Linked DNA regions of Oreochromis niloticus. The protein of the gene in region 2 interacts with the protein of the main gene of each other region in a pairwise test. Links are inferred from orthologs where the notes say so. Each region holds a gene or a part of one and is shown on either strand. Other genes may lie near its edges. The genes, in order: sh3yl1, gfap, pdlim1 and ribc2.

Evidence for each region.
Region 1: the proteins of gfap (region 2) and sh3yl1 interact in binary tests that used the Homo sapiens proteins (3 or more experiments, as listed by UniProt). The two-hybrid records come from large-scale screens. The link is inferred for Oreochromis niloticus from reciprocal best matches to the Homo sapiens genes GFAP and SH3YL1.
Region 3: the proteins of gfap (region 2) and pdlim1 interact in binary tests that used the Homo sapiens proteins (3 or more experiments, as listed by UniProt). The link is inferred for Oreochromis niloticus from reciprocal best matches to the Homo sapiens genes GFAP and PDLIM1.
Region 4: the proteins of gfap (region 2) and ribc2 interact in a two-hybrid assay, tested with the Homo sapiens proteins (2 studies listed by BioGRID and IntAct). The two-hybrid records come from large-scale screens. The link is inferred for Oreochromis niloticus from reciprocal best matches to the Homo sapiens genes GFAP and RIBC2.

What each region holds. Positions count from the first base shown.
Region 1 is NC_031986.2:26,980,785-26,987,672, forward strand, and holds the start of sh3yl1 (SH3 domain-containing YSC84-like protein 1), read left to right. Parts: upstream 1-3,870; 5' UTR 3,871-4,102; coding exon 4,103-4,103; intron 4,104-5,316; exon of another isoform or gene 5,317-6,341; intron 6,342-6,888.
Region 2 is NC_031969.2:28,883,549-28,890,534, forward strand, and holds the start of gfap (glial fibrillary acidic protein), read left to right. Parts: upstream 1-3,984; 5' UTR 3,985-4,025; coding exon 4,026-4,546; intron 4,547-6,040; coding exon 6,041-6,101; intron 6,102-6,200; coding exon 6,201-6,296; intron 6,297-6,390; coding exon 6,391-6,552; intron 6,553-6,709; coding exon 6,710-6,835; intron 6,836-6,986.
Region 3 is NC_031978.2:25,484,251-25,492,172, reverse strand, and holds the start of pdlim1 (PDZ and LIM domain protein 1), read left to right. Parts: upstream 1-4,908; 5' UTR 4,909-5,079; coding exon 5,080-5,172; intron 5,173-6,215; coding exon 6,216-6,367; intron 6,368-6,874; coding exon 6,875-6,959; intron 6,960-7,922. UniProt on the Homo sapiens protein: Cytoskeletal protein that may act as an adapter that brings other proteins (like kinases) to the cytoskeleton. Involved in assembly, disassembly and directioning of stress fibers in fibroblasts.
Region 4 is NC_031972.2:62,003,932-62,010,992, reverse strand, and holds ribc2 (RIB43A-like with coiled-coils protein 2), read left to right. Parts: upstream 1-4,649; 5' UTR 4,650-4,750; coding exon 4,751-4,867; intron 4,868-4,957; coding exon 4,958-5,039; intron 5,040-5,134; coding exon 5,135-5,455; intron 5,456-5,546; coding exon 5,547-5,665; intron 5,666-5,762; coding exon 5,763-5,936; intron 5,937-6,044; coding exon 6,045-6,211; intron 6,212-6,217; exon of another isoform or gene 6,218-6,294; coding exon 6,295-6,364; 3' UTR 6,365-6,548; downstream 6,549-7,061. UniProt on the Homo sapiens protein: Microtubule inner protein (MIP) part of the dynein-decorated doublet microtubules (DMTs) in cilia axoneme, which is required for motile cilia beating.

The DNA.
Region 1 (6,888 bases), on a different chromosome or scaffold from region 2:
CAAATGTCAAGGCTTAATACAAGATTCCTATTAGGGGAGTGCAGAACTGGGAGGATGACCATTAATGGACAATAGGACTTAGAAGGGACTAGAAGACTAGAGGATTTGGCAACTTAGAGGATTTCTGTGGAAACTGAGGACTCTGAAGATTATGCATTATGTTGGACTAGAGAAAAACAACTTTAAAGTAAATTCAACCTTTTATGGAGAGAAGAGGCCTGAAAGGAACATCTGAAGAACTCAAAGACTAGAAGATAACTTGAAAAGGCCAAAGGACCCAGGGAAGAACTCAAAAATTGATCTGTGACTTTAGAGGTGTACTCATAGTAAATTACCAAGATTAAGAGGACTGGAAGGGAGATATTAAAAAGGCATTAGGTTACTTGGGTATTGGAGTGCTTGACTAGAAACTTGGAAACTGTGGAAATGACACAAAGGGTAAAAGATAACTTTGAAAGAGACTTTTGGGGGAACTAACGATACAAAAGAGAATAGAGAACAAACAACTGAAAGAGTGGGAAAATGATCCAGAACTAGCACTCACTGAGAACTGGGAAACTTGGGAAAAGGCTTTATCGTTGAATTTGACTTTTAAGACCACTGATAAGGATTAAAGACTCATTTTACCATAGGATAACATCAGATAGATTCAAGAACTTACAAGGATTTGGGATTCCTTGAATTGAAGGCCTGGGAGAATGATTTGTGGATGATTTGGAAAGAGATCTGAACCTGGAGGTTGGGGTGGGGGTGATCTGCAGATGTCAAGAGAACTTAAACACTGAATTATGTGGACGTGAAGAGTAACTCAAAAGTCTTAAAGAAGACAGATCATGGACTGCAGGACTTGAAAAATGATTTCTGAGGATTTTGAGGAGGCCTGTAGAGGATTAGAGGAGTGGGAGCCCTGAACTGTTTTGTAGAGACTGGGTGGCCTCACGCATACACACTGAGTGGAAACACATTAGGAAGACAAATGGCTGCAGTCAGACAGATGTTTATCCAGCAGGCTATTTAAAGAGAAGCGATTGTGGAAAAAGATAAAGATGGTGGGATGAGAGGAAATGAGAGATCAAGGCTGAGAAAAAGGAAAACATGGATAAGGAAGGGCATTGATGATTTGTTTCCCTATTTAAATCTTTTTATGAATTTCATTGATCATTCTGTTTAATTTTATGGGGCAGCACAGTGGCCCAGTGCTTGTCACTGTTATTTCACATCAAGAAGGTCCTCCATCCAAATCTAATGTCCAGGTACTCTGGCTTCTGTCCACAGTCCAAATGTAGTTAGTGGGTTAGGTTAATAGGTTAACTTTAGAATGTATGGTTTTGTTCATGTTTACATTTATTTGAAAGGGACAATGTTCATTAATTAACATGTGCACTTAGATTCACCATGTAAATCTGTCAGTTTTACATGTCAGCCTGATTGGAAATTATTGCTAAAATTTAATGAATATTTAATTTAGTGAATTATTGGTAACATTTTCAATCATCAAGCATCTTTAAACCATCTTAAAATTATGCATAAATGAAAAAAAAACCTCATTAATACTTTATCAAAACCTGTTTTGAGTTTGTTCAAAAATACCAGAAAATATTAGTGTCCAAAACTGATATTACATTTTTAACTAAAATGTCAGAATTAAACATCAGCAAATGTAAAGAAATAAAAATGAATATAACAAAATCAAAAGATCAATAAAAAATGAATGTAAAATATGAAAGAAAAAGATGTAAAACATGTAAAAATATTATTGAAATGCATGTAAAATCAATAAATCTCTAAGAAATATATTAATGGAATCATTGCAACATATCAAATGTCAGAATAAAGTATTAGGAAATAGTAAAAAAAAAACCGATGCAAATATTACAATAAAATAGCTAAGAAGTCTAAATGATTCCTACAAAATATGCATTAAAATGTATGAAAATACAGGTATGGTAAGGTATACAGGTAAATAAGGCATGAAACTGTCCAAAAACAAGTTTTTGGTAAACTGGGTGGTTCAAGATCAGCCATGTCTAAATTCAATAAGCTCCCTTCTCTAAATATTTACGCGCTGCATTTTCTCAGCAGTAGATGGAGTCGTGGACTTACAGGTTACACAACATTACTACTGAGTGATATAACTGTGTGATTTGTTATATCAGCCACAGCGATGCTGGCAGCTAACATTAAGTTCAGCTAAAGATGCCAGAAAATCATATTTATCTCCAGTCAGGAAGTCACTGCCTCTGGAAACATTTATCTTGTTTTCCACATTTGTAGAATTTAAACTTTTCCCATTCAAATGTCATTATTTAAAGTTTAAAAAACATAATAATATTATTTAAAAACTCAGCTAAGTCTAAAAATGCCTTAGGAGTCAGAAGCAAATCACCCACTATAATCAGTTTGAGACTACAAGTAGTATCAGTAGTGGATACTACTTTGCAAAAGTCTTGAGCCACTGCTCCTTTCTTTATCTTTTGCTTCCAATGAACCAGGCACTCTTATAGTTTTTCAAAGTGATCTTCAGCAGTTGTTCTCCACGCTTTCTGAAGATCTTTTAAAATATTTCTTTGGACATTGGCTGATTTTTCACTTGTTTTCAGTCCAGTCCTTGTACCTGACCACTTTCAGAGGAATATTTGTTTCTGTGTGTTTGTTTGCTTGTTTGTTGAACCACTTAACAGTGAAAAAACAAGTCATTTAGGCAAAACAGGCACTTAACTACAGACATCAACCAGTGTTGATTTACAGATGCCTAAAGATGCCTACAATTTTAAATTGTATCTTTAGGCACATTGTTACTGCAGATTACCACAAACGCACATAATTTCTTCAATAAAAAAAAAAACGCCAATGATAACACAGCTTGACAGACACAAAATTGTATTTTTCCCCCAAAAGCTCTTAGCCAGAAACTTGGCATATCTCAGCATGGTGTGCAGTGTGTCCTTAAAATATGTAAAATATAAATGTAAAATGACTAAAGAAAAGGTTCAAGCCTAAAAAAATCAACTATCTACAGCAGATGAACAGAACCTGAAAGTAATGTTCCTACAAAATATGAGAAATGAAGGAGAAGAAAAAAAAGAAGACGTATCTGGCATTTCAGTTGATCTACTGTTCACTGGAGCCTCGGGCTGAAGTAAGTCAAATTACACAAAAACTGGACAAAAATGTTTGGTTCAAATCATTATCAGTTTGTACTTAGGTTATCAGGAAAGAGGTACAACAGTGAGTGTCTACAGCAATCTGTAAAACGCGGCCGAGGCTCCATCATGGTCTGCATTTGAGGCAGTGGTGCTGGGAATCTTAAAACTGGTGGACTTATGAACAAAGAAAAGTACCTTCAGATTTTATTCCACTGTACAGTACCATCTGGAAAGTGTCTGATTGGTGGCAGTTTCGTTTTTCCACATGACAAGGATCCCAGACACCCTACCAGTGCAGAAAAAGCATATCTGGATAGCACTACCAGTCATAGATTGGGGAAGAAAACCCACGAGAGTGGCACTCCAATCAGTTTTTTCTTTAAAAAGATTCAAATGCTTTATATATCAATGGGCATTTATTACATTTTTATTGTTTATTATTCATAAAAAAAAATAATATATATTTTTTAATATCTTCAGTATATTTTATATATATACTTTTTTTTTTAGATATTGTAATAATATATACAATTAATCAATTCAATGTGCAACTACCAGAGGTAAAACTCATTATCTGGATGCAGTATTTTTACTGTCAGATATTAATATACCTGAGAAACAAAAAACATCTGAGTACCAAATTAAAAGCCTCCACATTAACCGCGCACCTGAGAGTCTGAAATCAGGGAAAAATCCACTCGGTCGAGCTACCTTGCAGACACGCGAGGGCGCGCCTAGTTGATAGAGAGCACCACCCTTCACACAGCAAACCGACACAGTTCCAACTGCCCTCACCTAACCACGTGCCTCTACTTACAGCTTCTCCTTTACGTAGTTTTGCGCGCGCAGTTTCCGGCTGTGAGAAGCGTCAGGTGAAGCGGAAGTGAAGAGAAGAGAAGAGGCTTGTACTGCTCACCTGTCGTCAGTCAAACTGACAGAGAAGAAACAAGAAAAAAAGTAAGTTAAAGATAAAAGAGTAATTTAAGTACACAAGGAGTTATTTTATGTGTCTGTCTGCTGTTTCCGGTCTGTTCTACCTGTCTGCTTTACCTGTACACCTACAGGGTTAGGTTTAGTAAAAGAAGAGCAGTTTTACCAGGAAACGTTCTTACAGTTTGTTTACTCCCTTATAAAGGGCAGTTTTAGTTTTTCTGGCTCCCAAACTGAAGAGTAGGACCCCCCAGAGGGTCACGGGCAGAGGGAGATGTGGGTTAGGGGAGTAAATATTTGTTTATTAAAATGTATGTACACAAAAAAAAGAATTTTCAGACATTAATATAAATATTTTGTGTATATTCTTTTAACTTACACGCTGCCTATTTTGGGCCTGGCCATGGGTTGGGTAGGGCTGGGGGGCTGCTCATGTTGTGGAGAATCTGTGACATCTCATTAGTGTTAACAGGCTATCGTTAGCTGTTAATCAGCTGTCAGTGACTGCTTCTCTGTGCTGCTGGGTTTGTTATGTTACAAGTGAAATTAATAAGATTATACTAGTTTATTGCCATGGGACCTCGTCATATGTGACCAGAATCTTATGAAAAATAATCAGAACTTCCTTGTGGAGGTAACAGAAGCAATAAACCTGCGCTAATTCCCAGTAAAAGCTCCCCATTCACATCTAAAACCTCTTTAAAGACCACCCGGCTCCTAAATAACTAAAACCTAAAGGACTTCCGCCAAAAATCTGACTGTTCTTATTCATGACTAACTAACCAGGACAAGTTAATCCTGTCTGGTGACTATAGCATGGATCACAAACATAAACCACTAGAAACTACTAAGAGGGACTCCATCATCAAAAACAGCCAGAGCATGAGAACTGACCAAACCAAGAAACATTCCCAGCTTGACCATCACCAATGTGTTTTACTATCCTACATCAAAGCATCGTGTTCACATTAAGCTATTTACCTTGTAATTCTCAGCAGTGTGATGTCATACTCCTTGTATACCTACACCCACTTGCGGTAACTCTAGCCTCTCTCATTGTATTAATCAAGCTAATCCACAAACTTATCTCACTTCAGCTATCAGTGGCATGTTCAAACAAATTCTAGCATGTGCATGATCATACAAACACCTCAGGGTAGATGTTGCAATGACCATTATAAATAACACCAAAACTAAACTTAATTACAAAGCCGTTATTTTGCTATTTTTTTGTCAAGTATATCAAAAGTAACGCAGAACTTTATGAAAATATGATAAATTTATATATAACATGATCTAGTTCATGACACACATGGTGGAATTTAAGCCTTCTGTAAGCCTTACACTAATCCAATGTCTCAGTATTTTATGTTGAACTTCAGCTACATTTTCAAAATGCCATATTCCTGAGGTCATAGTAGTAGATATTTGGATTAAAAATTTGAATGACATAGGTTAAATAGTTCTCTAGATATAGCTATTTAAAAATACCACCATTGAAAGGCTTGAAAAGACTTGAAATTACCCCTTCAACATTTTTATGAGCAAATCACAGGGAAATCACAGATCATCAGTTGACATGCAGCCACTTTGGAAACCTCCCTAGTGACCTATTTAGACATCTCTTTAACAAACAGTACCATCTTAAACTCCAAAGGAACATTGTTGCAGGCATAAGGAACACCCTTAGCCAACCAAAAAAGCAATTAAAATCCTGTATAACTGCTCCAAAGATGAGTCAAACTTCTATGTAGATGATCACAGTCTAATTACCAGAACGTCTGACCAACAACTAGAACATGAAGGAATGCTTCAACCTCCTTAGCACTAATCTAAACTTGCATTATTGACTAGAATTGTCTAAAAAGAGCACTAGAACTTCCATACACAGGTAGATTCTGTCTGAAAGATGGCTATAACTAACTCCACCTCAGTGCTGGCTGGGGTGGAGCCTAACTGAAGCCACTGGATTCACGTTCAAAATGGAGGATTGGGTGGTTTCTCTGAGTCAGTGTTTTCTCCATCAGTGCTGCAGGCTGTGATGGAGTCTAGGCGATGCTGCAGGAGCACTTGGCCATGTTGGCATGTTGTTGGTCAGCGGCACATTTGGATGTGCTGTTCAGGCTGTGTCATGTGTCAGGAATTTGCTGCTGCAGCAGGAGTGCATTTTGGCATGTCGGCAGACTGGTCACAGCTCTCTGACTCTCACTGCAGAGATTTCCTGGAAAGTCTTATGATGTGAGACTTGAAGAAGAGTCATCTAATCTTTAAAAATCAAATACAGAGAAAATGGGAAGAAAATTAATCTCTTACTGTTTTCAAAAGCAAAAATACAAATTAATTTTCTGGTATTAACTTTTAAAAAAATGTATTTTAAATGTGAACACGGAGCTGCTGTTTTCAAATAAAAGAGTTCGAAGAACTTGGTTAAAAGAATCCCAGTGACTTGGTAGAGAATAAAACGCTATCATAATGATATATATGTGTGAATAATTAATTTAATTTATGTATTAATTATTTCTGGAAAAGAATTAAAAGGTCCTGCACCTGCAGACTTATGTGTCATATGTGTTATCATCTAAAGGTTTAGGCATCCATCAATTAATATTATTCTGATAAAAATAAAATCTTATTATAATTTAAATCTCTTTATATTTCAGATATGTTCTCATTTTTTTTGTCTGTGAACAAATTTAGTAGTTTAAAATGTATATATTTAAATAATAGACTTAATTTTGATATTGTGAAAATCACATTTTATAAATGTTACACAAAAATGTAAAAATGAATGATGGTTTAACTAGCACAAATA
Region 2 (6,986 bases):
CCTAACAATATCAGTGTCCTAGATATGTTGGCTCAACTATGCAGGAATTATGCAAAGTCACTAAAAAGTATAATTTGTCCAGACCAAACAAGTACAGCAGGGGTGTGAGGGACACAATCAAGCACTCTCCCCACCTGCGTAGTCGTTGGAGGATGCAAGTCTCATGTTCACAAGAATTGATGCAGATAGGTTAAATTCATCTTGTTTAATTTGTTGCAGGACATCATTTTGTGGGTGTAACACCTTTTTTTTTTTAAACCCAAAGCAGCTAGTTTTGATTAAGGCCTACCCCTTAATTTACACCCTGTCTGTCCTTGATGTAGTGATGAAGGTGGGGCTGAGACAGTCGTATTTCCAGCTTGTTGGTCAGGATTCAGTTTGGTATGTGGCCATGTACATTCAGACATCAGCCAGGTTGAAGAATGGTAGCTGAGAGGTTCACACTGGGGTTTCTGGATGCAAAATGCCAGAGCAGTCAAACTTAGCTGGCTGCGATTTTATCTTGGCCTGAGATCATTTCAGTTTTAAGATTCTGCCCCACACCCCTTCTTCTTGTAATTCCTGCAGATAAGATGGTCTTCTTGTGCTGGATCTATGAATCAGCTGTTTGACTTGCAGCAGGGAGCAAAGAGAAGGAGAGGTCTGCAGCACCACTTTTACTCTCTTTCTGCCTGGATGTTTAATCATCAGGACATATTACCTCAGTGACCAGAACTCAGGCAACGGTGGTGATTGCCGGAAAAATTCAGAGGGGCGAAACAATTACTGTCACCTTAATGATGCAAGCATGCTATTACTCCTTAGAGATGGAGCCTTTTTAATCAACAAATCTCTGCCAGACTTACAGTGTGCCATCTTGTTTAACCTGCTTTAAGAGAGACCAATTAGAATTCAAGACAGTGTGCTGTTGTTTTTCTTCTTTACTAGCAACAACACTCAGAGGCCAAATAGTAAAGTCCTAGGGCCTTTATTCACTGTCTCCCACTGAATAAAGGCACTATGATTGGTCTACAGTCCCTGTGATTTTATGGCCTAGTAACAAAGAAATCCTTTATGAACCACTGCTGTTGTGGTTTTTACTACCTTCAGCAGTTAAATGTGCTACTGCCAGTTTGATCTTCCTAACACCAAACAAAAACAGAATTGATATTTTTGCTGGAATTTAACCAATTACTGGTACTTTTTTTTTTTTTTTTACCATGTTGCAACTGTTTTTTGGGGGGAATTTGCAGAGCCAGAATGTAGAACTAAACAAAAGGCAAGCCTTTATAGAGGTTGATCAAGGTTCCAAATGTGATACAAAAAGTCCAAAGAACTAGGAAATGCCAGGAAACATGAGGACACAAGAGCAGGACACACACTGAGGATTACACAAATGACACCAGAACAAAGAACAGAAGGAAGAGTGAGGTTTCTATAAACCCAGAAGGCTGATTAGGGATAAAGCACAGGTGGCAGAATCAAACAAAGGTGAAGAACAAAAACTTGCATGACCAAACATGGATACAAAAGACTTATGTGAAATATATAAAATATAAATTAAAGATAGTGAGAAGGGAACACCTGAGGACAAAGACATGAACACAGAAAGAGGAGATAGAGAAAAGAAAGAAACTTGCTACACAGTTACCGTTGCTTTTCTCATTAAAATTACTTAGGGTTATTTACTGTATCTTGTCAGCAACACAAAACCAATATTACTCATAGTTTTTTTTCCAGCAGTATTTTCCCAAACTTTTAGTACTTTTGTGTCTTTTTGAGCTCTGTTTTCAATAACATTATTGTCATGCCAAAATACTCTGTTCTTGACATGAGGGATATATTCTTGCAGAAGGAAATGGGCACTTGGTCAAAATCTCACTTCCATAAATCACATCTTCTTCAAAAAGATCAGCTGAGGTGGTCTGAGGTAGCCAGCTCTGTGGTTGTCAAGGTAATGGATGATAATGGTTTTGCAATGCAGACTCTGTTAGTCCTCATAGAGTTCAGATTAAAAGGCTTTACTCACCAACTCCCTTCCTCCCCACATCTCACCACCTGACCCCACTCATCTCTGCCATCCATCTGTCTTTGGAACCAGCAAGACATCTAATAACCAGACACAGTGAACATCTCCAAGGGAAGTGTTTTTCTTCTTTCTATTGAAAGTGTGCATGTACTGCAGTATATCTATCTATCTGTCTATCTGTCTATCTATCTATCTATCTATCTATTTATTTATTTAATTAAAAGCTCCAAAGCACTTGAAAATGCTTTGAGATGAAGTGTTATAGATTAATATTTAATGGCATATATAATGAAAACCCTGGGTCATAAATAATCAGGTGCCATCTTATCTTAATAGTACCATAAGGTACTATTAAGGTACTATAAGGTGAGATACCTTATCTTACCTTATAGTACCGTATCACACTATTACAGCACTTCGCTCTCGCACTGCAGACTTACTTGTTGTTCCTAGAGTATTTAAAAGTAGAATGGGAGACAGAGCCTTCAGTTTTCAGGCCCCTCTTCTGTGGAACCAGCTTCCAGTTTGGATTCAGGAGACAGACACTATCTCTACTTTTAAGATTAGGCTTAAAACTTTCCTTTTTGCTAAAGCATGTAGTTAGGGCTGGACCAGGTGACCCTGAATCCTCCCTTAGTTATGCTGCAATAGGTGTAGGCTGCCGGGGATTCCCATGATGCATTGAGTATTTCTTCTTCAGTCACCTTTCTCACTCACTATGTATTAATAGTAGTGCTGTCAGCGTTAATCTCGTTAAAATGACCGCATTAACACGTTAGCGAGTTAGCGCGGATCGCCCCGTGCGTGGGGCTGCATGGCGCTAATGCATTAACAAGCTAACCGCCGTAACGCGTTGACGCCATGCTGGCCCACGCACGGGGCGATCCGTGCTAACTCGCTAATGGAGATTTGCCACAGCATGTCTTTTATCCCGTCTTCCTTCTTTCTTCCCAACCGGTCGCAGCAGATGGCCCCGCCCCTCCCTGAGCCTGGTTCTGCCAGAGGTTTTCTTCCTGTTAAAAGGGAGTTTTTCCTTCCCGCTGTCACCAAAATACTTGTTCATAGGGGGTCATATGATTGTTGGGATTGTTATTGTAGGGTCTATCTTACAATAGAAAGCACCTTGAGGCAGCTGTTGTTGTGATTTGGTGCTATATAAATAAAATTGAATTGAAACTGAATTGAATATACTTTGTTGAAAATGTATTTTCTCCAGTCTGGGTAATATGAACTTTTTCATCATACTTTAATTTTCATTACTGAATAAGCACATTTTATAATAAATATTCCCATTAAGGATGAGTTAACGAATAATGTTATGCCCTTTGTTATATAACTGCTGCCCTAAACTGTGATCCAAAGAGGAGTGACAACAGCTCTTAGATTCTCTCCACACAACTGACCCTGTGAAATCATTTGACCCTAGTCTCAAATGATTTCACAGGCTTTTGTTGTGCACACTTCCAATACACTCAGCAATGTTTTTAATATACTAATCTTTCTTTGTATCTGTACCTGCTCCACCTGCCGATCTGAAGTTATTTTCTGATTAGAGAGCGAAGATCTCTCCCCAGCACCCTTTTGTTTGATCAAACTGTGTTTCTGTTTTTGTGAGAGCGCATGTGTGGTCAGCTTGAATTGGTGGCCAGACCCTGTCACACAAATTCCTTTTCATTCAGCTCAAACAGAAAGAAAGAGAGGAAGACAAAAAAGGGTGAAAGTAAGAGTGAGAGAGAGAGTGAGTTAGAGGCTGGGGAGAAGGGAGGAGAAAGGGGGAGAGGGAGAAAGCCAAGAGACATTTGTAGTTGAGTGGACGAGCACAGACAATCCCTGGCGCACAGCTTTTTGAGTGTCATGTAAACCACCCCTTCGCTCTCCCTTTTTGTCCCATTCACTGCCTGCCACCCTCCCTTCTCTCTGCCCCACCCTGTGGTCTCTCTGCTTTGGTCTTGGGGGGGTTGGTTGCCTGGCTGTATAAAAGCCCTGTTTGTGCCCAGAGCGAGCTCCATTCCCCAACATGGAGAGTCAGAGAGTCCAGTCCTCATACAGGAAGCGTTTTGGGCCCCAGAGCTCGAGCAGCTCTGGAGTCAGAATTGGTGGCCTTTCTTCTAGCCGCCTCTCCTGGCATGGCACCCCTCGCAATGTCACCCACTCCAGTCCCGTGTCGCGGATCTCCCTGGGCTCAAGCAGCACAGCCCTGCTGCTGGGGAGCCCTGTTGATCGGCTGGACTTCTCAGCTGACTCTCTGTTGAAGGCCCAGTACAAGGAAACACGAACTAACGAGAAGATGGAGATGATGGGCCTGAATGATCGCTTTGCCAGTTACATAGAGAAGGTGCGCCTGCTGGAGCAGCAGAATAAGGTGCTGGTGGCAGAGCTGAACCAGCTGAAGGGGAAGGAGCCAAGCCGACTGGGAGACATCTACCAGGAGGAGCTCAGGGAGCTACGACGACAAGTCGATGGTCTCACCAACAACAAGGCTCGAATGGAGATCGAGAGGGATAACCTGGCTGCAGATGTGGCTGCACTTAAGCAGAAGTAAGAGGTAGCAGGGCAGGACTTCTGTGGGTGGAGGATCATGTAGGTGTGATGCATGATCCCACAGTAGTACCACCCATTTGTATCTCTTTTAGAGATTGCATATGTATGTATAAGAATAATGAAAGAAATGCAAAGGGTTATTTTTTAGAGTTATGTACTGAATTTCAATTTCATATTTCATTTTTCAGTTAGTGTACAGATGTTTTGGACCCTTGTTTATGTTAAACCTTACCATGTTCTTGATTAAAGCATAGTAGAACCTGAAACACACTCTGAAAAACATATTTGGACTGTGAAAGAAATGCCCACAAAGTGTGTTTTCTAGACAAATGCTTTTGGTTAGCTGGTCTTTGATAGGAAAACACATTCAGCTGGAGTAGATTTTATGTATTTTGGCACAAAATAAGACAAACTCTTTCCAGTGGAAAGTTTTTTTTTCTTAGTTTTCTTTTATAATTGCCAGTTCATTTATATGCAGATTTCAGACCCGCTGGAATGCAGCCCACTGTGCTCTGCCCCAGCTTTACTCCTGGATCCCTCTTTACAAACTTGAACCCCTTGTCCCCATTGAGTGAGTGCGAAGGAATGAGGGAAACACAATGGTAGCCCAACACAAAGGGAACGGCCAGCCGGGCAGATGTTCACTAGTCCCCTGTTACTCCAAAATACTGATTCACTGCCATTGCATATGCATCTTTTTTAAAACTTTAGATGCATATGTGGCATGAATCTATACTTTAATCTTGTGAATGAGTGACTTGAAGCCTCTAAAGGTTCGAAAGGTCTCTCTCACACTATATCCTCCGATTACCACGCAGCTGCTGGTCCTCTAAAAGAATGCAGCATGAATAGTGATGATTCTGGTCAGAGGTCACTTTTGTGATTCATGCTGCTCTTCTTGAAGCCCTCTTTTCAGCAATCGCTCCATGAAGCCATACAGATGCTTAGAGTTCCATGTCACTGTGTGCATGGCAGATGGATTGTAGGGTGGTGCCTATCTGTGCACGAGGCTGTGCGTACGTGCGTCCTTTTTATGTCTGTGTGTGTGTGCTCCATCCCGTGGGAAAGGCCTCTGGCTGCTAGATTGGAGTGAATGTGTAATGATGCGTAAGCTGCCCTTTCAGCTGAGCCCCGCACATCCCCAGCAGCATGGGGAGCAGCAGTAAAGCTGATATCACGAATCTAATCGATGTGCGTGTGCGTGTTTTTAGTCCTTGCAGACGATACTCTGTTAGACATAAATGAGAAACTGTAAAAAAAAATGTAAAAATCCTTTCATGCTTGTTTCCTTTTTGCTGAGATGTGAAGGAGTTGACAAAAAAGGCTCATGCACAACAAGTTAACTCAAAATAAATGGTGTGTTTATGATTTTTGTCTATAAAAGTATTTTGCACAACAAAAACTGGAAAGACTGGATGTTCTGTTAACCTAAAAAAACCAAATTTGAGTAATTTTTTTAATTTGGTTATTTTTCTCCTTTGTGTGACTTAGACTGCAAGATGAAATTGGGCTCCGACAGGATGCAGAAAATAATCTAAATGGCTTCAGACAGGTAATTCTGTTCCCTGAAATCATCAACTAAATAATTTAGACATTCGGTATGACTGACTATCCAACTTCATCCCTCTGTGTGCTTCATTTTTTTTCATAGGATGTGGATGAGGCGTCTTTAAATCGTGTCCAGCTGGAGAGGAAGATTGATGCCCTGCAGGATGAGATAAACTTCTTGAAGAAAATTCATGAGGAGGTAAGAAAACAACTGAAGGAATAGAAGTCACGGAAATATTAAGGCACCAATAATTGCCACTAACCACAATCAAATTTGGATTTCCTCCTTGCAGGAACTGCGTGAGTTACAGGAGCAGATCATGGCCCAGCAGGTCCATGTTGATCTGGATGTGTCTAAACCAGACCTGACTGCTGCTCTCAGAGACATCAGGGTCCAATATGAAAACATGGCAAGTTCAAATATGCAGGAGACTGAGGAATGGTATCGATCCAAGGTGAGAAGAATTAGCTGTCGGACATAAAACACTTATTGTATAAAGTGAAAATGTGTGAAAATTTAAAAGAAATGCACAAAGATAAAGATAATGTTTCACAGCTAATAAGCTAATACACACACCACATACAAACGAGCTGTTTCATCTTTGTACACAGTTTGCTGACCTGACAGATGCAGCCAATAGAAACGCAGAAGCCCTCCGCCAGGCCAAGCAGGAAGCCAACGAATATCGTCGTCAGATCCAAGTGGTCACCTGTGACCTGGAGGCTCTTCGTGGCACAGTGAGTACACCAGATCACGCAGATTACACAGACATTTTGAATTCACAAATTACACTGCTGTCAGATGGACTTATGGCAAACACACACTTTTTTAAAATAGTTTGTTAGAACTGTAATTTAACAACAAGTGTGGAGCTGAAGCACAACTCAG
Region 3 (7,922 bases), on a different chromosome or scaffold from region 2:
TATAGGTGCCAGTCAGGCTGGTCTGAGTATTTCAGAAACTGCTGATCAGCTGGGATTTTCCAACACAGCCATCTCTGGGTTTACAGAGAATGATCTGAAAAAGGGAAAATCTCCAGTGATTCAAATAACACTTTGTTACAACCAAAGGATGCAGAAAAGAATCTCCGAATGCACATATCAAACCTTGAAGCAGATGTGCTACAGCAGCGGAAGACCCCACTGCTGACAGTTAAAAACAGGAAGCTGAAAAACTACAGTGTACCCATCTTCTGATGATTCTCTCCAGCAGGATAATGCCCCGGTGTCCTAAAGCTTAAATCATCTCAAACTGGTTTCTTGAACATGTTAGTGAGTTCGCTGTACCCGACGGCCTCAACAGTCACCAGATGTCAATCTAATAGAGCACCTTGGGAATGTTGTGGAACGGGAGATTCGCATGATGTATGTGCAGCAACTGTATGATGTTATCATGTGAGCGTGGACCAGAATCTGAAGTTGTTAAATCTGTGCCAGATGAATTAAGGCACTTGTGAAAGCAAAACAGGGCCAACCCAGTATTAGCAAGGTGTAACTAATGAAGTGGCCGGTGGGGGTTATGTTTTGTTTGTTTGTTTGTTTGTTTGTTTTGAAAAAGCAGATCTTCGAACTTTGCCTGCGAGTCAGGGTCGAAGGGGGAGCTGTTCACGTCTGGACTGCTGAACGTCAGCTTGTTATCTGATGATCATTTCTGATGTAGTCCACTGTTGTGGCTGCACGCAGGAAAGTGGGTGAATGCTGTTGGGTGAAATGAAGCAATAAATGTCAGACTCCTGTAATCTCAGTGAACAAATGCTGAAAGCCGCTCAGAGTCCTGAGTCCCACTTGCACTATATCCACTTGAACTGATAACAGCGTCACTTTAAAACGGGCTCACAGGCTTTTTGGCATACCTAAAATTACAAAGCAAAACCCACAAGAAAGGACGTGTTTCATTCAGTTTGGCCGCCTTGGCCCCCCCTTTATTTTTTTCCTCCACTTTCAGCAGAGGCCCACTGGCAGGAATTCAGTTTTTGGGAGCGGCACATTCCACATCCTGGGATTTAGCTCTACCATAAATGGTAAGTTTGCACATAACAGGGTGACGCAAGGGCAGGCCGACGTCTCTAAAACAAACTGAAGCTCTTGTGAGAGGTCCAAAACACGAAGAAGTACCACTCTGCTCTCCTTTCAGAGAAATGTCCCTACATTAAAAGTAATGTGGTCATCGCAAAGTTGCACTTTTCTGTTGTTTAATTTGAGTTTAATAATAATGAAAAATTAAAGTAAAAGCAACACGGGAACTACAGCAGTTCTGAGTCATATTATCTTCACAGTGTTACACAGTCATTCACCAGGAAGATGAAAATTAAATGGTGTTTTTTTTAAGTGAGCAATCAGGCCGATCAGTTCATCAAGCCGCAGAGCATGAGTCGGCAAAGTGCTTCACGTCTTCCTCATTATTCTGAGGAAACACTACAAGTTCCTCCAAAAAAGGGTCTCAGTTATGTTCAACCACACAAAGTTCCTGCCTGAACACATTTAGCTTCCAGGTTAACGCAGCAGCATTTCATGGACACAGTGAGGCTGTGGCCTTCCAGTGGTTAAACTGCTGTGGTGTGCACAAAAGCACAGCTGTCATCATACAATGCAATGCTTTTCTAGCATTACTGACCACTCGAAGTGTTTTAGACTTTGATTTGTTTTATTCCGCAGACTGTAAACACCTTATCGAGCCCTCACGGTTAGCTTCGGTGTAACTTTGTGCTGAACAAGATCTCTGTCTAAATAAATAAATAAATGTGGGTAAATTCCCAGATGATTAAACATGCAACTATTTTTCTGGTAATACCTGAAACAAGTAAAGAAAATCAACAGCCTATTTATGCAAGATCATTCATAATTTTATTGTGGGGGTTATATTGGTTGGGTCTGATTACTGGGGGGGGGTCATAACACCACTAACCCCCCTGGAAATTACGCCCCTGCTGGTTAGAATCACCAGTTAATGTGCATGTCTTTGGACTGGGGAGGAAGCAAGAGCACCAGAGAAATTAAACGAAAGCCCCTAAAAGGCAAGCTGAATTTAAAGGAGTTCCTGGAGATCAAGCGATCTCTGTTGGAAAGAAGCTGCTGTCCGTGGGGTCTCTTCAGAAGCAATCGTTCTTATGTGATGATAACAAATGGGTCACCATAGCTACTGCAGTGGAGCTGCTTAATATAAAAATTAATTTCTTTTGCTTACTGCTGGTAAAGAAAGATTAGACCACTGTGCTTTAAGTTAGTGTTTTCTTTCAATACGGATATTGTATGGTAGTGATATTTAGAGGTGTGATTTATTCATGAACTGTATTTGGATAGTCATCAATTAACATTTTCCGCTGGGATAGACTCCCGAATTGGATGAGCCGAAGATTATGGGTGGATGTATGTGCCAATAAAGAACAATAAATGAAAAATCAGAGAAATTAATCACATTTATCTATGTACATCAACAAAAAAGGTAATTCAAGGCACAGCGAGCATTAAAAAATCCAAGTTATAGGATAAAGATCTTTGAAGTATTCATTCCTCTGCCTTCACATGCATGTGAATCTGAGTGGCAACCTATTCTTAATTCATAGGGTTTAAATATGATGTTAGCCCACCCTTTACATAATAATAGCTTCAACTCTTCTGGGAAGGCTTTCCTCAAGTTTTACACGTGTTTATGGGAATTTCTGACCATTCTTCCAGATGCACATTTGTGAGTTCAGACGCTAATGTTGGACGAGGAGGCCACAGTCTCCGCTCAAATTCATCCCAAAGGTGTTTTTTTGGATTGAGGTCAGGACTGTGCAGGCAAATTACACTTGGCACAATGCAGTCACACAAATACCGTTCTCCTGGAAACTATCATACCCAGACTTGTCCATTGGATTGTCAGATGGAGAAGAGTGATTCGTCACTCCAGAAAACATGTTTCCACTGGTCAGTGGAGGCGTGCTTTACAACCACCGCATCCAGCTCTTTGCATTGCACTTGGTGGATGTACCTGCTCGGCTATGGAAACCCATTTCTGGTGAACCTGGCCCATTTGTCAACCAATCAGCATGTGACTGACAAACAGCATCATCCATGACAAGCAATGCGTAGTTGGGATTTTGCAGGGAGCGTGTTTACACTGGCACTTTTGCCCCTCCATATACTCTATATGCTTTATTTACATTACTATGGTTGTGTCCAGACTCATCTGCCTGGCCTGTTCAGTACCGTCCTTTCCTCTTGCTAAGCTGCATCAATGGAAGGATGCAGTTACTGAATTGGGACCCAGCTATAGCATGCTTCAGTGCTTCATATCGGCACTGTTAAAAAAATAAACAAACTCCAACACAAGTAAAAATTACAAAAGGGCTAAGCTGTGCAGACATCCACGTGCCTGCCTGTTTTTGTGACCACGTGGACTCGTCTGCAGAGACTTCAAATAAGGGTAACAGGAATTACTAGTCTGCTGAGGTGTTTCCAGCTGTCCATGTCTGAGTATAATCAAGGCTTAAAGTGACAAGATGAAAACATAATTAAGAGATTAATAACTACTAAAGATGTAATAAAATCAGTGACTTCTTGTAGTATTTTTTCCTCTAAATGTTTTCTTTGCCATAATTTTTCTTCTGCATTTATGAAGGACTGACCCTCCTCATCCTCTGCTTTTGTTTTGGATCCATCATGCTCCACTAATACGGACACTTTTGTTTATATGCTCTGTAATCGAGTGTAACGCTGTGAGTCTGCAGGTTGTGTTTCAGAGTGACTCAAGCAAAGTGTTTAAGCCCAGTCAGGATGTGATTCATCCATCACATATGGTGTTTCACCTTCAAGCAGACATGCTGACTTTAACTGGCCATACAGAAACACAGCCAAAATGAAACAACTTACTCCCAGTCCAGCGCAGATTCAGTCTTCACATGCTCCTTTTAACCTTAGCAGCAATACTAAAGACATCCTTGCACATTCAACACCAGCCCAGTAGCAGGAAAAGTTTTATTTTATTAATCACAACAATATAAAGTGTCTTGATTAGGCTTTAACTGCTCCAGGCAGAATTACAGGCTCAAACATGCATTCTCTTTATCACACCAGCATTACTAATGCGGCCATTAGCTGTGCAAAGATTGTGAATCCTGAAATCACTTACACGTCATGCTCAAGTCTAACCATGTCTGTGTAGATTCTCAGTCATCCAGATCATGTTGGTCTTGAGAGCTTGAGAAAAAGAAGGCAACTGGTCTTTTTTAAGTTTGTGAAGACGTTTCAGCCCTCATATAAGACATTTCTTCTGTTCTAAAAACAAAAGGTGGAGTGTCCCAGGCATTTAACCCATAAAGGTGGTGTCCTCTTTGGAGGTGGTCCTGAAGGACCCACTATTGATCATGTGAGTTGTGTGGAGAAAGGCGTGGGTCATTGCCATCACTGGACTTTGAAACCAGGTTTCCCTTGAAAATATGATGTTAATCTTAAACGACTTCATGGTTAAATAAAACAAAGGTTAAACAAACAAATAAATAAGGGTGAAACAACGGTGAGAGCTTGCCCCCACCCTATCGAGGTCACAAGGCAAGGTGTGAGTAGGCGTTGAAGCCCTGGGAAGGGACCCTGATAACTAGTGTCATGAGCCACACAACAGTATTTTCATTGCTTCAGATTTTCTTAATAAGATAAACACATGACGAAGAAAATGATGGCCACTACTCAGTCGCCGTGTCCAAGGGGCTTACTCCCCCAGGATGGTGGCTTAATCCCACAATTCTGCACGTTAGTGGCGTATGCGCGAGTACACATATGTACACGAGTGAACCATCTTCTCCATACACCATCTTCGGTCTCACTTATCAGGGAGGAAACTTCAAAATCTATTCGTCCAACTGTAATCCGAGGGTCCTCCCCCTCCACTAATGCGGTGGAGTTGCAGTCAGCCTCAAACTTTTGACCATCGATTACTCCACGTCATTATTGCAGTAGGAAGTGAACCATAGGTCTGAGGCAGCTCCTTAACCATCGTCGGCTCTGTTTCAAAACTTTGACACCATGCCTCTCCGTGTGGCGTTGCAGGGTCCCGGCCCCTGGGGGTTCAGGCTGGTCGGGGGAAAGGACTTCGAGCAGCCACTGGCTATTTCCCGGGTAAGCTCGTTTTACTGTTAGTTTCTCTACCGCTTTTCAGTGTAACCGCACCTGGACTCTCACCTCTCATTGTTTCCCCGCGACTTTACTGAAGGCTGGATGACGATTAATGGTTAGCTTGTGTTAACCGGAGGGCTAACGAACGGCTAAACTAGCGTTAGCTTTCTCAGTTTATTGTAATTAAAAGTTAAATTAGGGGCAATTTTTGCTAGTGCTACCTCAAGGAGCAAACACGGTGGTCAGTGGACCCCACTTAATTTTAAAAACATACATTTTTATGTAAGGTAAAATATCTTTTTTCCTGATGAATTGTGATTTATGTATTTTTTTCGGTCTTTAACTGAGAGTTAAGGCTACTTTAAAGTAGTAGTTTTATAATAGCCGAACCAGAAATGCACTCATCCCAAACAATCGTTGTCATATTTTGTCCCGTACAGAATTTACTTAAGATTTAAAGCGTGATTTTAAAAGTTTAAACTCCACACTTTGACATCACTGTGTGACCATGGACCCATCGGAGCCTCTTTGTCATGAGCTGACAGCTGACACACCTCACTGGTGTTCATTAGCGCTAAGATTTTATTAAGCTTCATACAGGGTGCTGCTCTGGTGGCAGTAATGAACCGGATTATAGCTAGCAAAGCACTCCTCTGTGTGCTTTGTCTGAGCCTAAACTGCATTTTTCCCCTCTCTTGTGAAGGTTATTACTGTGGTCAGGCCACCCCACCCATGGAAAAGTGATTAGGAATTCCTGGACTGTACTGGTCCCTCTCCCTCTCCCTGCTTTAGGCCTTTATCTCAGATAGAGAATCTGGGCTCCAGGAAGCTTTTATCCTGACTCTGCAAGTGCCTTCACTTCTGTTTACTGTTAACAAAGACAGCTGCTTAAAGGTTCTTGAAGGTCAGGTTTAAAACAATGGCACTCTCCTCTTTTGACTTGGAACCCTTTAGGCTGTAATTAGAAGGTGCGTTTTCCATATATTCATAATTATACAGTGCACAAGTAGCTTCTAATTTTATAATTTCTATGTCCTGTGTTGTAGGTCAACCCCGGGAGTAAAGCAGCCCAAGCAAATCTATGCATCGGGGATATAATTCTTGCCATCGATGGAGAACCAACAGAGAACATGACTCACTTGGAGGCGCAGAACAAGATAAAGGGCTGCATAGAGGAAATGGTGCTCTCCATAGACAGGTAAGCTGTGTCTAAATGTGCCATTCTGATCTGCATAGCCATAGGCTCGGAGAAAAAGAGTGAGTAATGTGAGACGGCTCAGCTGCAATCCAGGTGTTCAGCGAGTGACATCATGTTTATTCAGTGATTTTTAAACAGCAGTTCTGTTTGTTTTACTGGTTTTTACCATGTTGCAATCCCGCATCGCTCTGCTGTGTTGTCTTGTAAATTACTCATGACTGATGACTTTTGAGGAGTCGTATCAAAAGGGAATTGACAGACGGTTTGAACCACATATGTTTGCTCCCATTAAGCGATGCCATATTGAATGCATGAAAGGGCGGGGTTAACTGCAAGATAAACAAGAACATGAGCATGCCTGCAAGGGCTCTGTTGCATTCAAAGACACAGCCCTAATATTGCATTCACGTGCTGGTACACAGGAACACGCGGGCGATCCTGGCATTTTATGTTACTGAATCCTCAGATCATCTTTCAAGCCTTGTTTTGCCTTCCTGTCTTCCTCAGGTCAGAAACAAAACTGTGGTCGCCGCTGTCATCTGAAGAGGGGAAGGCGCATCCCTACAAGATGAATCTTGCATCAGAACCACGGGTGTGTGTTAGCATCAAAGCTGTATGAGCTTTAAAAAAGTGACTCCTCCAGCTTTGTCATTTAGAGTGAAATCGAGTAGCCATTCAGTTTCTGGAAGCCAGAGTGCTGTTCTCCCCCCCCGTGCCTGCAAAGGCTTGGGGATTTTTTTTTTTTTTTAATTTATATCCTACTACTGTTCATGATGAAGTCATTGTTTACTTACCAACAGGAGGTTTCCTAGGAGACAGTAGTTTATCAGCCAAGCCCTGACGCAAGCCTCAGTTCCTGCCCGCTGAGTGGAAAGTTGAGGCCAAAGTATGAATTCATGTAGGAAACGGTGTCTCAGGCCCTGTATGTGTGTGTGTGTGTTTCACAAGTCACAAAACTAGTGTTTTTTTTGTTTTTTTTCTCCCACACACATATTAACACATATTTCAAGCACTTCTCTAGAATCTGTTGCTTCACTCTTTTGTTTTATGTAAGTATTGTCAGCTCCTTTGCGCAAGTTATCTTGCTCACAGAGACTCGGAGATTTTGCACTTTTAGAAGCTTGAAGCATGAGCTATATTTGGAGGCATTTCTGTGTTCCCACTGTGAAGCATGAGCTAGATTTGGTGGTATTTGTATGCCCACTGTGATGGCATGCCAGTGTCATGACGCATCTGTCGTTAAAGTTAGCCACGTAGGTATAATTAAGGCAGAGTCCACAGTCATTATCCTGCTAAATTATGTGTGACTTTGTATCAGACTGGAAGCTGCTTTAAAAAGACAGAACCGCTCAAAGTTTCCAAGTCTGTTTTCAAGAAAAATGTTATTGAAAGCGAAGCTTAAAACACAATGGGCCAGTCACTTTCAAACCTTAAGCAATATTTCTAACCCACTTAGCAAACACTGCATGTTTGTACATGCACAAGTTAAGAAAAAAAACTTAGTTTATAGCTCCTCAGGTGTGCACAGAGTATTACTTGTTTCAATCACGCTTGA
Region 4 (7,061 bases), on a different chromosome or scaffold from region 2:
GGTCAGAGCATCTCAAACCTGCAGCTTTTGTAGGCTGTTCCCAGTCTGCAGTGGTCAGTATCTACCAAAAGTGGTCCAAAGGAGGAACAGTGGTGAACCAGGGTCCAAAGCTCATGGTCAGAAAATGCTGGCCTGTGTTGTCATGTCCAATAGACGAGCTACTGTAGCTTAAATTGGTGAAAAAGTTCATGCTTGTTTTGGTTCTAAAACTAATGAAGAGGCATCTTTTAGCCATTATGCTCCAAGTTTAGGACGAGTCTACCTGATAACCCACGTGCTGCTGACACTGTTGAGATTTTTAGAACCAAACTCAAGTATTTTCTTTTTAGTTTGGGTTGTGTCTATTTTCATTGCATTATTTGTTTACATGTTTATTCCCCTCTTTCATCTTACTTGCCTTTATATTCACCTTTTACTTTTTCCCCTCCAGCATTTCCAAATGACAAGGTGGTGTCTAATGTCCAGGCAGGGCTGTAGGATTGAAGGAGTGATGAGATGGTGTAGTGAAGGGACATGTGTGTAGTTTTATTTTCTGCTTTTTATGAATAGAGCACTTTGAACTGCATCCTTATTGTCTGAAAAGTCCTGTATGAATAACATATTGACTGACTGAAAGGTTTCAGCATCAAATGCTGCGTATGTTTGTGTAGCTGTAGACAAGTCCATGCTGTCCAAACTGACCCCCATCTATTGCCAAATCCAATGCAATGGAAAAAGCTGGCCTGGTCTGATGAATAATACTTTCTTTAACATCACGTGGATGGCTGGAGCGTGTGTCGCTTAGCTGGGGAATGCATGGTACTAGGTTGCACTTTGGGAAGAAGCCAAGCCGGCAGAGGGAGTCAGCGTAATCGTTGGGCAATGTTCTATTGGGAAACATTGGCCATCCATGTGGATGTTATACTTTGACACATCACCTACCTACACTGTTTCAGAACATGCCTACCATTTCATGCAAATGGCATTTCCTCATGGCAATGCCAACAGGAACTTTCCTTTCACATGTTAAGACTTTATTTCTTGCTCTGTGGCATCTCTTATGTTAATTTTAGATTTAGACATGATTGATTTTTAGGATTGTCCGACTGGTTTGTGTCAGCACAACAGAAAAGCACACTTGAATCAGATGTTCTAATAATATCCAAGTTGGTGGCACAATAGCATTAAAAAACAATTTGTTAAACTGGATATACTGTACGATTATTGAAAATGCATGATTGTGGACATCCTTGTGTAGGAAATAGACCCAACACAAGATGAAAGATTTCCTATTAAAACTTTACCAACAACTTAAGCAACCAATGTCATCATGTCCAAAAACACATTATAGAGTCAGCAGATGCTTGCTAATTGAGGGAAATGTTTACTTAACCGAAAAGATGAAGTTTGGGATCCCTGTCAATAGAAAAATGTGCCAGCGTCACTACAATAAATGAGCCAAATACAGGCTGCATACCTTCTGCGTATGGCAGCATGAGGGTATAAAAAGAGTGATTCAGTACTTTGTTCTTTAAACTCACTGTTCTCACGATAGCTAGGGCAGCCAAAATTTGCCAACAACGCCACCTTGGGAATTCCACCCAAATAAATGAGTAGAAACACCAGTAAGGTACACAGATTTGTTCCTCTAGTATGAGGCAGAAGACCAGAGTTCACAATTCAAACTTTGAATTTTATTACACAAGGAAAAACATCGTTTTAAAACTGTACACATTCAATCATACTGGAAAAGGGAGTTTGTGTTCAGGACTGAGACTTACCAGCAGATGATGATGATCACTGAGTACTAGAAAGGGCAGCTTATACATACCTGACCTGCTAAACAACTCTCACCTGGACGGGAGAGGAGCACCTCCCGACCCAGGTGACGCAACATGCCAATGATTTCTACCATGTAAATAGCCCACGTCAGAATAGTTTAGGTCCAAAACTAACAATAGTGCTAACAACGCGTTACATACCTCTTCTATTGTATTGTGCGCACCTGAGAAAGAGTGGTAAATGCCCCACCCCAACAGCAACAGGAGATGTGACAGCAAAAGGCCTCTAAGTGGGAAACCAAGTTAAATTAAGCAGACAAAACATCCTTCGTCTGTGCAACGGGCACAACATGTGTACGGCGTCAATGCACCTTAAAACATGCAGCCCACCAAACAGCGAGCGACAACAGATGATTGAGGTGATAGAGCCTCATTATACAGACACAGCGCCCCTGCTGGAAATAGGTCAGCATATTCAAAACAGGCATGCTTGCTCATAGATAGCTAATGAGTACCAGAATGTTACTGGAGATGCACTTTTTACTTTCTCATCTCAACTGTTTTCCCACCAAACCACGGAGATGACTTCGATGAGCATGGGGAAATGTATCATCAAGATACAAAAGTGATGGAAAACCAAAAAACACACACACACATAAAACATATTAAGGATTGTAAAACATAAAACTGTTGTTGGAACCACACACATATATGAAGAGAGAGAGTATGCATAGCATGCAAATGGCTACCAAACAGCCATCATAATTCGTCATACAATGAGAACCGGACAAATCAAGAATTGACAATGACTAATTAATATTGTGCTGAACACAGTCCAAAAGATTCAGTCAGCTACATCAGTGCCTACTGTTTACTATCATAGCCAAGTGGCTAACAAACGTAAACAGACGTTTTCACTATCCCTACTAATTAATGTTATCCTGTTGTATCTCTGTTGTGGTCAGTGCCATCCTCTATGGTGTTGCATGCTGGGGCAGCAGGTTGAGGGTCACAGATACCAACAGACTAAATTAACTGATCCACAAGGCCAGTAATGTTGTGGGGATGGAGCTGGACTCCGTTAGGGTGGTGTCTGAGAGGCGAATGTTGTCCAAGATAAAGACAATGCTGGATAATACCTCCCACCCACTCCATGATATGCTGGCTAGCCACAGGAGGATGTTCAGTGAGAGACTGAGATTACCCATAATGCACCACTGAACGACACAGGAAATCATTCCTGCCCGTGGCCATCTCCCTGTACAACTCCTCCATCTAACACACTGTGAACACTGCAATAGTTACACCCTTTTTACACACGCTCTTTTCTACTCTGTAATATTCTTGTCAATTTTCTTGATAGTTATTTATAATCACCTCTGTTAATTCTTGATATTTATAATTGAGTGACCTGTATATATTAGTGCTATTTCTTAAGTGTGTAAAATCTGTAACATAATGTATTGTTTGGAGTTTAGTCTGTTACTGTTACTATTTTTACAATTTCTTCTTGGAGCAACTGTAACCCACACAATTTCCTTAGGGATTAATAAAGTATTCTGAATATGATTCTGATTGTTTCAGGATGACCTGCCATTATCCAATGACACATCTGCTTACCGGTTGCTCGTTTCTCCTCCTCTTCTTTTCTCTTTTTTCTAAACTGAGCACCTGATGGCTTTGAACTTTTCTAGTCCAACTTCCATTGGTTTTAATTTTGCACTCCAGTATGAACACCCATCCCCCAACCCGAGGATCACCACAACATAACCTAACAGACCTACACCTTAGCTCACAGATTCACTTTGTCTAGGTTTTATTTCTGGGATTTCGCACAACCCAGGATTCATTTTAAATTGTCATTGATCCCTTTACCCCTCGTCCTAAAGTGTATATTTATTTTCTTACTCTTCTTATATTTATTGTTTGTTTACTTGCACTGCTGTAACTGGAGCCTCGTCGTCTCGTCTCTCTATATACTGGACTGTATATATCGGAGATGACAATAAAGTTTACTTTGACTTCAGCAGCAGGCGCACCGAGGGCTCTCGCGCTCAGTTTTCGTGTATAGAATTTCGAAAAAACATCGGTGCAGAATATAAGTCTGTATCATAATGTCTGGTGTTTTCGTGTTTGTTTTTATTTTGTTTTATTTTGCGAGTTGGTTATTAGATGCTGCTCCAGCCAGCCAGAGAATCCCCCGCCGCCCCGCCCTCTCCTCTCTGCGCCGCAAGCATCAGGCGCACCTCGCAAACGGAGGGCGCCCTTACTCCCAGCAAATGGGCGATAGAAAACCGATTGGTGCCCATGCCATCCCCAAACTGCGCTGGCATGATGTCGGGGTAGCATGAGTAAATTTTTTTTTTTTTTTTTTTTGCCGATGCCCGTGATGCCGCCCCCACCACGATGCCGCCCCGGGCAACCGCCCGTGTCGCCCGTATCAAAAACCGCTACTGGTTGCGTGTCCCTCAAACATCTTTTCTTTAGAGCTGAAGTGGCAGAAATGCGCTTTAACGCAGAATAGAGACATCAAAACTAAAATGCTTGGAGATGGGAGTTAAAATTCTAGCAGCAGAAAAGGGATCGGTTGGATGGTTTGGTGATGTGGATCTCAAAAACATGACGAGCAAATATGAGTTGGATTGCAAATCTGAAATCAGTGTTGTTGTTGTTTTAAAATAAAAAAAGATAGTTTGTTTTTTTTAATAACCCAGGCCAGTGTTAGTTATTGTTCTGCCATTTTTAATACAGGTCCAAGATTTAATGCCTATCAGTAGGTGGACTCTCGACACCATCCGCGTTGCGACTGGTGTGCTTTCATTGGCTGAAATGTTTCGATCCGAGGCGTCTGGGGTGAATGCTCCGGAAAAAGCCGACGTCGTACGAGGGCTCGCGAACACTCTGGTGTCTTAGCAACCAGTGTGTTTGAACTCCAAGTTTCAGACGGGAGCAAATCCTCAACTAAATGGTAGCCACCGCTGTGAGCCAAAATGCGTAAAACTGAACTACTTTCAATGCGCCTCGCCAGAGCAAGTCTGGAGAAGCGTCACAACATAGAGACTGAAAGAAAAGAAAGAATTTTTAATGAGAAACTGAGGACGATTGGGGTACGTGTGGGTCTGAATTAAACAGAAGTGGAAAGTCTGTGGCAGAGGAGGTTAACGCATTGAGTTTGTCTCTAAATGACTGTTCTACAGGTTGACAAGGAAGCCCTAGATGAGCAGGTGAAAGAGAAAAGGGAACAAGTAGAAGCTGCAAAAAAGGAACAAAACGCCTATGGTGAGTTACTTCAAATTTGTTTCCTGATGTGTGTCATACAATCCTTTATTAAAGTGAACTGTGGTATATGTGTGTGGCATGTGATCGTCATGCAGATGCTGATATGCTCCATTATGGCAAAGTAGCTTGCATTCTCGACAGCCGCCAAATGAAGGAGAAGCGTGCACTGGAAAAAGCCATTGTTGCCTACAGGCAGAAGTACCAGCAGCCTGAAGATCGACAGGAGTATGATCTGAATGATCCCGGCCGTGTTAAAAAAATAGAGCAGAATGATGCACAGATGATGCCTCCTGGCCTGGTGGGTGAAGACCCAGAAAGTAAGGTCAGGCTGCAGAACCAGAGGGAACAGCTCAGAGAGTGGCTCACCCAGCAGCAGACTGAGCAGGCGGTGGAAAGGCATCGACAACAGCTGGAAGGTGGGTTTTGCCTTAAGACCATGCTTAATACACATGCTCAGTTCAAACACAAAAGGCAAGCTCCCGTCATATTTTCTACTGAAATTTTTAGAGCAGCGTTATGACCAAAGCAGAGTAGAAATGGACAACAGAGTTGTGCAACTTCAGAGCCTTGAGATAGAAAGGAGAAAGGCAGCTGCCATCGCCACTAAAGACTTCAATCGGTCTATGGTGAGTGAGAGGAATTTAACTGCATTAAACGCTGCTATAGGCTTCAATAAACATTTTTTATTTCCACCTTATTACTCATGTGTCTCCATGGGAAAAGGCTGAAGAAAAGCGGCGTCAAGACAAGCAAATCAATAGTAGGCAAAGCCAGTTTCAAGGTACCCCGAGTACGGAGGCCGTGCCCGGCCTGAGTCCCAGCAGTGACAGGAGGACACCTCCTGAGAGCCTGCAGCAGATCATTCAAATCCAGAAATATCAAATAGAGGAGAAGAGGGTAAAAAAAAAAAAATTATATCTGCACTCAAACAGTATGGATCATTTCAAAGGTAGCCCATATAAAGCATTTTATCTCCTAATGTGTGTGTTGTCTGTGCACGTAAAGAGAAAAGAACTGGAGAAGAAACAAGAAGAAGAGTGGCACGATCGCGTGCGCCTGAACTCAGCTCGTACCACTCTGCTTATTGAGAGGCAGCAGGCACGAATGAACAGGCAGCTGAGGCGAGACCTGGACAGCGCCAACGCCCAGCTGGCCGAAACACACAAACAACAGTAACGTTTGAGCAAAATTGTTTTTATTAAATTTAACACAGTGTACATTGTCTCACTGTTTTTAACAATGTTTCATTTTTAAGGAAACCAGACATTAAAAGAGGACGTATTGATGACAGCTTCTTCTCCAAGTTCAACACCTGCAGCAGATGAGGGGTGATGCACTGCTCTGATACCAGTGATGGTGTTGCATAAAAAGAACAATGAATAAACGGAATATCACAGTGAATAAACAGCTGCTTTTATGTGAAATGTAGTTCAGAACATTCATGTTTGCATGATTTGAAAAATGTTGATTAAATTTCAGATACTGCTTTAAAAAGTAGCCTCTGAAAGATGATTAGTTTTTGTGTTTCAAGTCTTTCGCAGTTTTGCCTCCATAAGCAAATATTAATTACTAGTCAGTTGAAGGCATAAGTGTTAAAATTATATTCAAGTAAAAAATCTTACAGATGTTTAAAAAAAAATGCTTTCTTTAAAGAAAAATGTTCCATCGGTCATATGATTTAAAACACACACACAAAATATATTTTGTGTGATATATATATCAGATATATATTTTATATATCTGATACATATGCCTGGTTTGATGTGCTTTGGCTAATGTTGCCACCTTTTTATGTTAATGCTAATATATGCAACATGTGAGAGAACTACAGAGAGAAATAAAACAGCAGTTAGCATCTCAATCACTTAAAGCTGTGTGACACTGTTACTGTATTTAACATGGCATTGTGAGTCTGTTTTACCTTTTTTAAGGCTTTTTTTTTTCCACAGTAGGCGACATGTTATGACACATAATTATTTCATTCATTACAAAACATTGTGGGAAACAACACTATATTTGTGC